Linked DNA regions of Coturnix japonica. The protein of the gene in region 1 binds, or shares a complex with, the protein of each later gene. Links are inferred from orthologs where the notes say so. Each region holds a gene or a part of one and is shown on either strand. Other genes may lie near its edges.

Evidence for each region. The genes of interacting proteins can lie anywhere in the genome.
Region 2: the proteins of NSUN4 (region 1) and MTERF4 are in contact, whole or in part, in a crystal structure (PDB 4FP9), measured with the Homo sapiens proteins. The link is inferred for Coturnix japonica from reciprocal best matches to the Homo sapiens genes NSUN4 and MTERF4. Residues at the interface, in NP_950245.2 of Homo sapiens: Pro61, Ser62, Arg64, Val65, Leu68, Ser69, Glu70, Arg136, Gly137, Asp138, Ile139, Arg141, Asn367, Leu368, Met369; in NP_872307.2 of Homo sapiens: Tyr267, Glu269, Arg270, Leu271, Gly272, Arg273, Glu311, Glu312, Val315, Phe316, Lys318, Leu319, Arg322, Glu323, Glu326.

What each region holds. Positions count from the first base shown.
Region 1 is NC_029523.1:19,165,171-19,171,438, reverse strand, and holds the start of NSUN4 (5-methylcytosine rRNA methyltransferase NSUN4), read right to left. Parts: upstream 3,666-6,268; 5' UTR 3,298-3,665; coding exon 3,202-3,297; intron 2,875-3,201; coding exon 2,471-2,874; intron 1,803-2,470; coding exon 1,648-1,802; intron 1,498-1,647; coding exon 1,343-1,497; intron 832-1,342; coding exon 707-831; intron 514-706; coding exon 240-513; 3' UTR 1-239. Other genes in the region: cytochrome b-c1 complex subunit 6, mitochondrial, read right to left, coding at 4,005-4,037, 4,123-4,284, 4,411-4,434, 4,526-4,567; LRRC41 (leucine-rich repeat-containing protein 41), read left to right, coding at 4,709-4,817, 4,891-4,977, 5,167-5,237, 5,629-6,268. UniProt on the Homo sapiens protein: Mitochondrial RNA cytosine C(5)-methyltransferase that methylates cytosine to 5-methylcytosine (m5C) in various RNAs, such as rRNAs, mRNAs and some long non-coding RNAs (lncRNAs).
Region 2 is NC_029524.1:3,758,146-3,763,287, forward strand, and holds MTERF4 (transcription termination factor 4, mitochondrial), read right to left. Parts: upstream 2,661-5,142; 5' UTR 2,631-2,660; coding exon 2,225-2,630; intron 2,125-2,224; coding exon 1,940-2,124; intron 1,818-1,939; coding exon 1,404-1,817; 3' UTR 1,335-1,403; downstream 1-1,334. Other genes in the region: PASK (PAS domain-containing serine/threonine-protein kinase), read right to left, coding at 3,084-3,283, 3,467-3,613, 4,379-4,512, 5,056-5,142. UniProt on the Homo sapiens protein: Regulator of mitochondrial ribosome biogenesis and translation. Binds to mitochondrial ribosomal RNAs 16S, 12S and 7S and targets NSUN4 RNA methyltransferase to the mitochondrial large ribosomal subunit (39S).

The sequences.
Region 1 (6,268 bases):
TACGCAGCCTCCTGAACCTGTTTTATTATCCTGAACCTGTTCGCATAAGATGAAAACAATTTAGCCCATTTAATATGTTTTAAAAAGAAAAATAAATATCCTTTAAATATGCTTTCTCTGGACATTCAGGGTATGTCATGATAACCAGCAAAAGGGAAACAACATCAGTTCCAAACACGACAGCCCAGAGATGTACAGTGAGGAAAGCTGAGCTGCCCCAAACCCAGACCTTTCATCCCTTATTCTCGGCGTAACTTGCAGAAATACATAGGCCCAAAGTTGGCTGTGAGGTGAGGAAGAACGAGCTCCCCCAGCCGGCAACCTGAGAAGAAACAAAACGTGTCCTGGAAGAGCATTCGGAAGTGGCTCAGGTCCTCAACGTGGACAGTGATGTTGAACTGAGTTTCTGCGATGTCTATCGCTCTCTCAACCACATGTTCATTCTGCAGCGGAGAGAGGGAGCACGTGGAGTACACCACCTCTCCTTCTGGTTTGGCAGCAAGGATCCCAGCCCTATGGACAAGATAAAACAAACATACCACCAGGGGAGGAAGAAGAAAGCATGGGATAACAGCACTATAATAACTGTGTGTGCCAGTACATAACCCATATGGAGTGGGGAGAGCTCTTGACTAGGCACATGTGAAGTAAGAAGAGGTTTCAGTGCTAATACATACAGCAACAAAACAGCTTCAAGCTCACTCACATCAGCAGCTGTAACTGCAGCATTGGCAACATCTGACGCTCCTTGGTTCTTATTTTGTGGAAGATGTTGTTCTCCTCCTCCATGACAGAGTGTCTGTCTGTTGTGCAGGGCACATCCACAAGGACCTGGAGCAGCACAGATCCCACATCAGCTTTGGGCCCTGGTCTGTCTCAGAAATCCCCCACCATCACTTCACCCAATGCTTCCACCACACCACACAAATGTAGCCCTCTGTACGTTGCCTAGCTTATGCCACCAGATAAAAGTACAACTCAGAATGCCCATACTCTCAGGTCCTGGAGGAATGGTATAGCTAGATGAAATACTGCTCTATCATTGGCTTAGCTTTAGCTCTTGTTCAGCGTATCAGGCTATGTAAAACTACACGATCACACTGTTGGGTAAGCTGCTGTCTCACTTTGAAACAGGAAAAAACTAAGCTAGATGTGAGGTGCTGACATAGAGAGAGAGCTGTGTGTGCCCCGTCCCTGGGGGTGCCCCAGGTCGGATGGGGACCTGGGTAGCCTAAAGTGGTGGGGCAACCAGCCCACAGCAGGGACTGGAACTGGATGGGCTTTGAGGTCCCTTACAACCCAACATTTATATGATTCCCTTCACTAGTTTCCAGTCACTCACCTTATGAAAAGTTGTACGTTGCAGCTCCCCCCAGTCCCTTCCATCATGCGATGTAACGCTCACAGCCTCCCTGACCTTCTTGGGAATGTAGCTATTGAGAATGTGATACAACCTCTTTGTTCGGGAAATGGAGACATCATTGGCTGCCAGATACCCTGAGGTGAGAGATGGGAAACAGCATGCTGAGAAATTCACCCTGGAAAACAAAACCACACCAACTCCTATAAGCAGAAAAGATGAACAGAAAGGTATCGCCATGTACCCTGCACTCTCAGTCTCAGCTTTACTAACTCCCCTCCACTTACCACAAGCCCCAGTCTGCAGCAGAGCCAGCGTCTTGCCACCTGGAGCTGCACAGAGGTCCAGGACGAGGTCATCTGGCTTCACATTGAGGGCCAAAACGGGCAGGAGGGATGCTGCATCCATGAGATAGTAGCTGAGGATCCCAAGAGAGTCTGGCCTGGAAACCACCATTTTGCATATAGAAAACAAAGAAAAATATATAGTTGGAAGCTACGATGGGTATAACCAAAAGGAGCTGGTGCTAACAGCTTGATGCTGGTGTAGCAGGAATGCTAAGTCACAGCTTGAAGCAGTGATGGGGCACCTGGTGGGAAGGCAGGGCCAACCCAGGGGAGCTCAGGTGCGTGCAATGCACTCACACCAGGTGAGTGACTGGGAGGGTTGGAGCCAGGATCTACTCCTTTACAGCCCTCATTTAAAGGCTGGCAGTGGAGGTGAGGGTGTCTCTCTGGAGAACTTCTAAGGTAAGAAGCTTTTTTTTTTCTTCCTTTGTTTCTGTATTTGGGCTTGTTCTCATTTGCTGAAGCCTAAGACTGTGCCGCCCCGCTACTATCACATTATAGATTACAGTATTACAACTAGCAATGTTGGTTCATAGCAGGAATAGTTATAGAAACACAGACTCGTGGAATCATAGCATAGCTGAGTTGAAAGGAACCTTATGGATCTATCAACCAGCTCCAACCCCTGCTGTGGGCTGGGTGCCCCCCTACCAGCTCTGACTGTCTAGGGCCCCTGATGTGGGGCAGTTAATACAGCACTATAGAAGCCTGGCTGGATATAGGTCGGCACTATTCAATGTCAATAGCAGGCGAACCATCTCACCACGCAGGACGGAAGCGTGAGATGTCGCCCCTGGGGAAGGTGTAGCACTTGATGTTGGAGCTGACAGAGGCACGAAGCAGCGGTGACGTCTCTGCTGGCACTGCTGGCCCATCTCCACCAGACCCCTCCAGGGTTTTCCTCTTCTCTGCTTCTACCCCTGCACTTTCCTGCCAACACTGATCCCTTCTGGCAGCTTCAGAAACAAAATCGGTGGCACCGAGCAGCTCCAGCTGCTGGGCGACGAGGTCGGCAGAGGTGAAGTTGTTGAGCAGGGCGCCGTATTTCTGCTCGCACAGCATTGCTGCTCGCACGGCCGGCCAGAGCTCCTGCAGCTGCAGACTGTACGTGGTGTCAAAGTGATGCAGCGCCAGGCGGGTGGCCGGGATGCGAGGGGAGGTGGTGGCCTTTGGAAAGAGAGATCCAATGGGTGAAGGGACTGGGAGACCAAAAGACGGAGCTGGGGGCTGGTATGTGGGAGGGGAAAGGCAGGTGGACTCAGGGAGAGGTGTATGGGGTGTAAGATGGGATAAAGGAAGGAGTGTAGGAGGGTGCAATGAGAGCCGCGATGGGTGTAATGGGGAGGGGGGGAAAGAGTGCATTAGCAACAGTGCTGGGGGAAGGGGGGTGGTAAAGGGGATGAAAGACAGAAAAAGGAGGTGCGATGGGGGAGGCACAGCGAGGGGACGGACAGATCAGAGGGAAGAAAAGCGCGGAGCTGCCCCGGTTCTCACCCACTTCTTCTTGTAGAGGTACCGCCGGGACACGGGGCTCAGCCCCAGCACACGAACCCTCCGCAGCAGCACAGCCCGGCCGCCCGGTGCCGCCATGGCTGCGCTCAGCAGCGCCTTCCGGGGCGGGACCGGAGCTCACAGCCCGCCCCTGGTTGGAGGCGGCCGGGGACACGCGGTAACGTTGCGGTGCCGCTCAGATGCAGGGCTTTGCAAGCTGCACGAATAGAACTGTTTGGAGCCGATAGGGATTGAGCTTGAGAATCCCCAGTATAAGGATTGTATTGCTGCTACTGCTCACTGTGGTGCTACAGCAGAGCAGCACTCAGACTCGGATGGCACCACCACCGTGCCCACATGCAGCCCCATGGACAGCTGCTCTGGGTCACAACGCAGAGGTGACAACAGAAGCTCCATTAGCAATAAGGGCAGCACAATAAACAGGAATGGCTTCACCTCACAGGGGTGAAGTGTGTGGATCCAAGCAGGTGGGGTGGGCTCTGAGCCTCACTGCTTTCATCCTAACTCCATACCAGTACAAATGAGCGCTGCAAGGACTACGAAATAAACCAAGGGCACTTCCACAGGAACTTTGTATGTTTAATATGGAAAATTACAGAACATCCATATGTTTTTTATGAAGATGTGCAGCTGCAATGAGAACAGACACAATGACATTCTGGTGCTCGGTCGGTGCCAAGAAGCCACTTGGTTTATACTTCACGTTGGCGATAAAGAGGCAGAACTGCGAACCAACGAGGCTCTTCGTTTGGACTGTGGAAGCAGATGGATGATCACTCCTTCATTCACTTCAGCTTGCTGAAGAGTTTGTGGGCAACCTGGAAGAGGAGACGCTTTAAGCTCAGGAGCACAACAAGAGCCTCTCAGCTCCTATAGGGATGCACCCAGCAGTGCAGCACTCACACAGTGGTCCCGGGCGTGCAGGAAGTCGAAGAGCTCCTCGGTGCACTGCTCCTCCGTGTGGGACCGCGAGGACACCCGTGCATCGCACAGCTCCAGCCGCTCCCGGGCCTTCACGCACTTCTCGGTCTGCTCGCAGTGCTCCCTCACAGTGGTCAGCGGGTCCTATGGACGCGATATAAGCACAGACAGCCCGAAAGGCGGCGGTTTAACACAGGTTCCTTCGTTTTAAAGGCCCAGCTAGCAGCCCGGACCCACCCCGTGCCCACAGGCCCTCACGCCCCGACTCACCACCAGCTCCTCCTCCTCTTCCTCCTGCGGACAAAGCACAGCACAGCCGTTACCGCTCGCTCTGACCCCAGGCCTCGTCCCGTCCCCTCGCTCAGCCCCGCCCGGCTCCGCTCACCTCGGGTTCTCCGGCGTGAACAACCGCGTCCCGCAGCCCCATGGCGGCACCAGGACTCACCAGGGTCACTCGACGGAAGTGCCGCTCTACGCTCCGGAAGCGCAGATCTCAAGATGGCCGCCTGCTCTTCCCCCTCACCCCAATGGCGGTGGGAGCGAGGAGGCGGGGCCGGGTCCTCCCAACATGGCGGCGCCGAGCGGGGTGATGTCGGCGGAGCGGCCTGACACGCTGCAGGCGCTGAGCGCGGCGGCCGTGAGCCGCAGTATGGCGGCCTTAGAGCCCGACGTGTGGGGTAAGGCGCGGGGTGGTGGTGCGGGGTGTCGGGTGCCTGCACGTTGCTGCCGTCTCCTTCTCGCTCTCCTCAGCGCTGCCCGGACACCTCCTGCGGGGGCTGCTGCCGCTGCTGTCCGTGTTCCGGCTGGAGAGAGCCGAGGCCGCCGCGAGGAGAGCAGGTAAGAAAGGGGGCGATCTTAGTAACTGAGAGATGAACCCATTTACTTCATCGCACTCTGAGCACGTTCCTTGTCCCAGTCTGACCCTGCACCCCCTCTCCTTCCATTGCCCGCTGTGGGAGCACCGAGCGGGGCTTCCAGCTGAGGAAGAAAGGCTGAGAGCAGCACCTGGTTTCTTTTCTTTTCCAGGGCTGTCCACGCAGCCCATCTGGCGCCAGCTGTGGGATGATGTGATGAAAACCAGACCCCCCAACTCAGAGGTGAGGAAACTGCATTGACACACATGGGTTCTGCTTTTACTCAATGTCACACTGCTGCTGGGCACTTGTAGAGCTTGAGACCAACGCATGGCTCTTGTGTAAGTTTGACTATGGGAAATAAGCATCTGTTGTGAGGGATGAGCTGTACACAGCCTTGATATCACGTCATTAAGTGTGCTGAAAGAAGAAAACTGGCTTTACAGATGCATTTCTTTAGGGGAACAGAAGGTAAAAACAATATCTTGTATCAGGGTTAAACCTCCGTGTGCTGAAGTCACGTGTTGGATACCTGTGTGGTAATTTGATTCAAAGATGGTGGCTGACTCTTTGTTAGCACAGCCTTTACTTCCACTTTTTAATCCCGGTTGACTCTAAGATGGTTTAATTGCAGAATATCCGCTGCTGGAAGAAGAAGTTCTTTGAAACGTTCTTCTCAAACGTTCTTCATGGTGTCTTGGATGTTTCCTCTGACTGGCGCCTCAATGACCATCATTTCTCCCCGCTGCTCCACAGCTCACCCCATGTGAGCCAGCTTACTCTGTGTAACATGCTGCAGGGTGCGGTGGAGCTCGTTGCGGAGCGCAACCAAAAAGTGCTTGAGAACTTGGCCAGCTCATTGCGGATCCTGAAGTTCCAGCACCTCCTCTCCTCTGACCAGTCCATCAGGCATTCGCTGGTTTTACTCCTTCACCGGCTGATTCACCATGGCTCTGTCAGCCACGTGTCCATGTGTGCCTGGCCTGTACCTGACACGGTTCTTCTTGTTCTCATTTTGAGTATGAGTGCTGGGTTTTGGCGCTCAGGAAATGCTCTTACGTATCACAGCAGCCCGTGTGGCCTTTGCAGAGAGGAGGGAGATACTCAAAGCCAGAAGACAACACAAGAGCCATCTGAGAAGGGCTGCTGCAGTGAGGAGTGGACTGATGGCATACACCAGAAGGAATCTCCTCGTGCTCTGGAGCAGGCTGATAGGCGAGCAGAGGTGAATGGACGGGTGGCTGACACTGGCCAGAACACTGCCCTCTCTGGAC
Region 2 (5,142 bases), on another chromosome or scaffold:
GCTTTTGGGGGTTGGGGGCCCTTTGCACACCAGCTCATTCTCCTCCTGCCCCTCTGCAGGGTTCAAAGCAGTAGGAGCTTCATCCTGTCACATCTAAGGGCTTCTGAAACACCAGGAAGATCAGATCTGCTCACTGGGTTGAACGCAGCCAGGCCACCCTCCTGCCTGGCCTCAGCCACTCCCTCTCCTCCAGCCCGTTAGGGACACGCAGCCAGACTGACATCCAAGCAGCGCTGCCTTCTCTCTGCCAGACCAGCAGTGCCTTTGCCCTGCCCTGCCTTACCTACCCCTGGGGGTCCCTCAGCCCCTCTGGGCTTCTGGCTCTGCTCTGGACCCAACAGGCTGAGCCCACCAGCAGCTCTACCAACCTGTTTTCATAACCCAAGGTTATAAGAAGTTACCTATAACCCCCAAATAAAACAATTGAACATGGACCCCAAAGCCTTAGCTATCCCACGGTCTGGTGGGGAGGAGGTCTTTACATCTGTTCCCTACACCCAGGCAGCTTCCACTGCCCCCATTTGGTTGTCCTTTACTTTGTTTTATAAACAATGTGTGGTTTTAACCACCTTTCCAGCTCAGAAAGTGATGGAGCACCTCGCCTATACCAGGCAGGCTGGCAGCAGGGGGTGATGCTGCGCTCAGTGTGACACAGCACAAGGTGCCACCCCCCCCTGCACCCTGTCACCCAGTGGGGCTGCTGCCATCCCCGCGCTGTTTGTGGGTCCCCCGGTGACTGTAGCAGAGCCAGCAAAGAAGAGGAGGGGGGGAAAAAAAAGTAGCTTAGAAACGTTCCTAGTTGTTGTGAGTTTGTACGACGATGCTAGTTAAACATAGATTTGTGTATTGCCATACACGGTGTATATTATAAATTAATACGTACCAGAGATATATCGTAGTTACATAGTGTTGTGTCCCTGGCAGGAGGGGGGACAGCCCTGCAGTGCCTGTCTGAGCGCTGGGTAAGCAGCAGGGTGCCCTGCAGCGCTGGGGATGCTTCTGCCATGGGGAGAACCAGGTTTGCAGGTGGAGCCCTTGTTTATCTCTAAGGCTGTGGCCGCAATGGGATCCTCCCGTTGGAAAACCAGCCCCTGGGGTTGTGAGCTTAAGGATCCGGAGCAGGCTGGGCTGTGCCCCACAGCGGGGCCTGGCCCCTCTGCTGCCCTGCGCTGGAGCTGCCCTCCCTGCAGCGCTAAGACAGCAGCCTCCAGCACAGCACGAAACACAGCCAAAAGGTTTTAACTTAGTCTTTAAAAGAAATTAGTTATTGGGGTTCCGTGGGTGTTGGTGTTTTTATTTTCGGAGTGGGGGGGAGGGGGGTTGTTTTTTGTTCAGTTTTGTTTTGTTTTTAATAAATAAATAAAAACACTTTATAGAAACGCTATATTGTGTGGAGCAGCTGGTCAATGAGCTGGGGGGGGACGCGGGGCAGCTCGGGAGGGCTCGGTGCTGGGCAGGTCCTTGTCATCTCCATGTGCGTGCAGTGCAGCACTGCCCTCCTCTTCCTCTTCGTCCTCCTCTTCATCCTCCTCCTCCTCCATCTCCTGCTCCTCCTCCTCCCGTGCCAGCAGCCGTTTGAACACCTCGTACTCCTGGCTTGTTGCGCGGGCTGTGCCGGCCACGAAGTCTCCGTCGTCCGGCCGCAGCACGTCCCGCAGCGCCGGGTTGTCGCTCTGGCTCTGCCCCTTGTGCGGGGTGCGGTACAGCCCCCGGCGCTCCAGGAAGATGTGGCGGTTCCTGAGCTCGGCGAAGGGCGTGCAGAACAGCCGGGCCTTCACCATCTCCTTGTGCCGGACGCCCATCCTGAAGTACGCGTACTGCGCGTGGAAGCACACGGAGCTCAGCGGCACACGGAGCTCAGCGGCACACGGAGCTCAGCGGCACACGGAGCTCAGCGCCGCCCGGGCCGTGCCCGCAACCCCGGCGCTCCGCCCCGCACCTGGAAGTGGAGCTGCACGCGGCCCGGCTCCTCCAGCAGCACGCGGGGGCAGCTCCGCAGCAGCTCCGCCAGCTGCTCGGCCGTGAACAGGCACCGCTCCCGCAGCAGCCGCACCACCGCCTCCATCCTCCGCCGGGGCAGCGTCAGCACCTCGGGGCAGCGGCCCGTCAAGCTCTGCAGCCGGGCTATGAGCGGGGATATGGGCTGAGCGGGGATATGGGCTGAGCGGGGACACGGGCTGAGCGGGGCGCTCCCGGCCCGGCCTCCTCCCATCCCCGGCCCTACCTCCTTCCAGCCCCAGCCGCCGCAGGTACCCGGCGCGCTCCTTGAGCTGCGCGCTCCCCATCCGCAGCAGCTTCGGGCTCCGCTCCATCAGCCCCAGCGCGGCCTCCGCGCTCAGCCCCAGCAGCAGCAGCTGCGCCGCCGTGTCCACCCGCCGCTGCGGCTCGAGCCCCGGCTGCAGCAGGAGGAGCCGCCGGGCCTGCGCCTGGCTGAAGCCCATGGCCAGCAGCTCCGCAGCATCGCCCTGCTCCGAGCCCGGCGTGCAGCAGCGGGGCCGGGAGGACGGGACCAGCACCGGGACGAGGGCACGGGGCGCGGCGATACGCAGCACAGCCAGCAGCCGAACCGCCATGGCTCGGGGAGGAGCCCAGCACCGCGCAGCCGCCTCAATACAGGGGGAGGGGACCATCAGTTCCAACCCACTGCTGTGTTGGTGACCCTGCACCAACAGCACAGGCTGCCCGCAGCCACATCCAGGGCGCAGTTAACCAACAGGACCACAGTACACGTGGTTATTCTTCTTTTTTTTTTTTATCTGAAAGAGTAAAACTACATATAAAAGTAAAAACAGCCAATACAAATATATTCTGAGCTATAAACAATAGAAGAAGACAAAATAAAACCCCAACCCAAATCTCTCCCGGCTTAAAAACCCATTCTAGGTAAGAATAATTACAACCCTGTCAGCTGGACACAGCTTTGACACAGCTGCTGTGAGCCACAAGCAAGGGGCAGACCCTGGGCTGCAGTGTATAAAAGGGTCACAACTTACACTACTGAGCAACCAGGGTTTGCATACAGGAGGCACAAAAGGGACCAGGGTGAGAGCTGCACACCAGGGGCTAAACAAAGAGCCAGGCAGTCAGCGCTGCACTGGCAGGGGCTGCTGCAGGGAGCGGCTGCAGCGACTGCCCAGGCTCCAGCCCTGACCCCTGCCGGCTGCAGCTCCTTCCCAGGGGCGATGTGCGCACACACAGCTGGGAGCGCTCAGGCACGGCTCACTGCACACACCGGGAGCTGAGGGGCTGGCTCTGTATGAACCATTGCTCAATCCATTGCTGTCTAGAAAGAAAGATCAACAGCGAGGGATGAACCGTAGGCCCCACTGGTCAATGGGTCAAGTTCAAAGCACACGTGGTTAGCAAAAGATTGCCTTTGGGTAAAAGCACGTTGCTAACCACAGGCAAACCTTGTCTTATAAACCCTCCCCATGGTGGGGGAGGAAAAGCCTTCAGAACATCTCACCTGCCCCAGCAGAGACGTACACCTCTTCCCAGCTGTAATCACCCAGATTCACAGGCTGCTTCAGCCAAGGATCCTCCACCAGCATCTCTAGAGTTGTGCGCTGCTCCGGAGCGGGGTGCAGCAGCCCCACCATCAGATTCATGAGATCTGGGAAGAGACAAACAGCTCAGCCTGGATTTTAGGCATGCTGGGAATGCAAGATATGATTAATATTCAAAAGAACGCAGATCTCAATTACAAATCCTCCCTGCTAATCTCTTGTACCATCCTGTTCTATTGCAGCTCTATTCACAAGCACTTACGTGTGCTCAGCTCCTGGGATGATGGGATTTCCGGGTTGTAAGAAAGAACAGAGAGCAGTTCTGACCCCGAGGACAGAGAAACAAATGCCACAGAGGCAGCCCTAACAAACTGCTTTGGAGCCCAGCACACCTGGTTTCCTATAGCTCAAAGCAGGAGGCAATGAGTTTTTCCTATGATGTCAAGATATACGATTCATTAAGAAATCATATCCTAAGAGATGATCATCAAACATCCCCAGAGTGACACTCTGTCACTTGACAGTTGGTTCAAGTGAGATAAATCTTGCATTAGAGTTAGACAAGTGCCTCTATTGACTGAACATTATGTCCTATAGTCAGCCTTCCCAGCAGGCCTTGTTCTGCTTTTCTCAAGCATAAACCTCACTGAATTCTGACAAAACAATAGATTGAATCATCTTTGTAAGTGGGAGGACTGGAATTTGAAACTAATAAGACAGGCAGTAAGTAGCTGAATTGCAGGCATAGAGAACTGCAGAGCAGAATTTCTCTGCTTCAGAAAACAGCATTTTAAATCATTGCGTAGGACATTTGGAACCGTTTTCCCCTTTTTTCTCTGCTCGTATTTTCCTTTAAATGGGAGAAAAGTCACCTTTGGACACAAGGCGAGGAAAATTCAGGACAGCTGCCATGGCCTCTTCCAGCTCACAGAAAGGATTCTCTCCAAATACGAGGGTATAAAGGGTGACACCAAGTGACCACATCTCCAGCTCAGGGCCGCGGTACCTACACAGAGATACACAAGCTTGCATGAGTTCCAAATGCAACAACATAATTGTGTGCTAAGGAATGTAACCATAACCTGAAACTGCTAAATATTTAAACAAAACTTGATACAAGCTCTCCAAAAGAGCAGCTTTTAGTTGAGAGGTGGGTATGGAGAATTAGGAAGCTGACGTGCATACTATGAGAGACGAGGGAAGGACACCAAGTCACAGCACAACTCATCCAGGCTGGAAATGACGACTGTAGGCTTGTTTGTGAACTCAGCTCTGTCGCAGGAAAGATGTTGATGTAAACTAACGTATAACATACATAAACTCATCGACAGGCTTAATAAAAATCAACTTCACGTGCATTTCAGCCTCTGCAAATAATTTGTGTCACTGTAGTGCCCTAAGTCTCACTTTGGTTTTCTGTGATTAGATGCTCCAGCAGAGTTCCAAGGGCAAAGCACCCTGCCTGCTTCCATCCAGCCCTGCACACACAGGGTTGGGTTTGTGTGGGGGTGTGATTTACAACAAAAGGGCTTTTCATAGGGTGACATACGGTTTGCCAGACAGTACTTCTGGTGAGCAGTATTCAATTGTCCCGCAGAAGGTGTAGAACAGTCTGCCAGGCTGCAGGTAGGCAGCA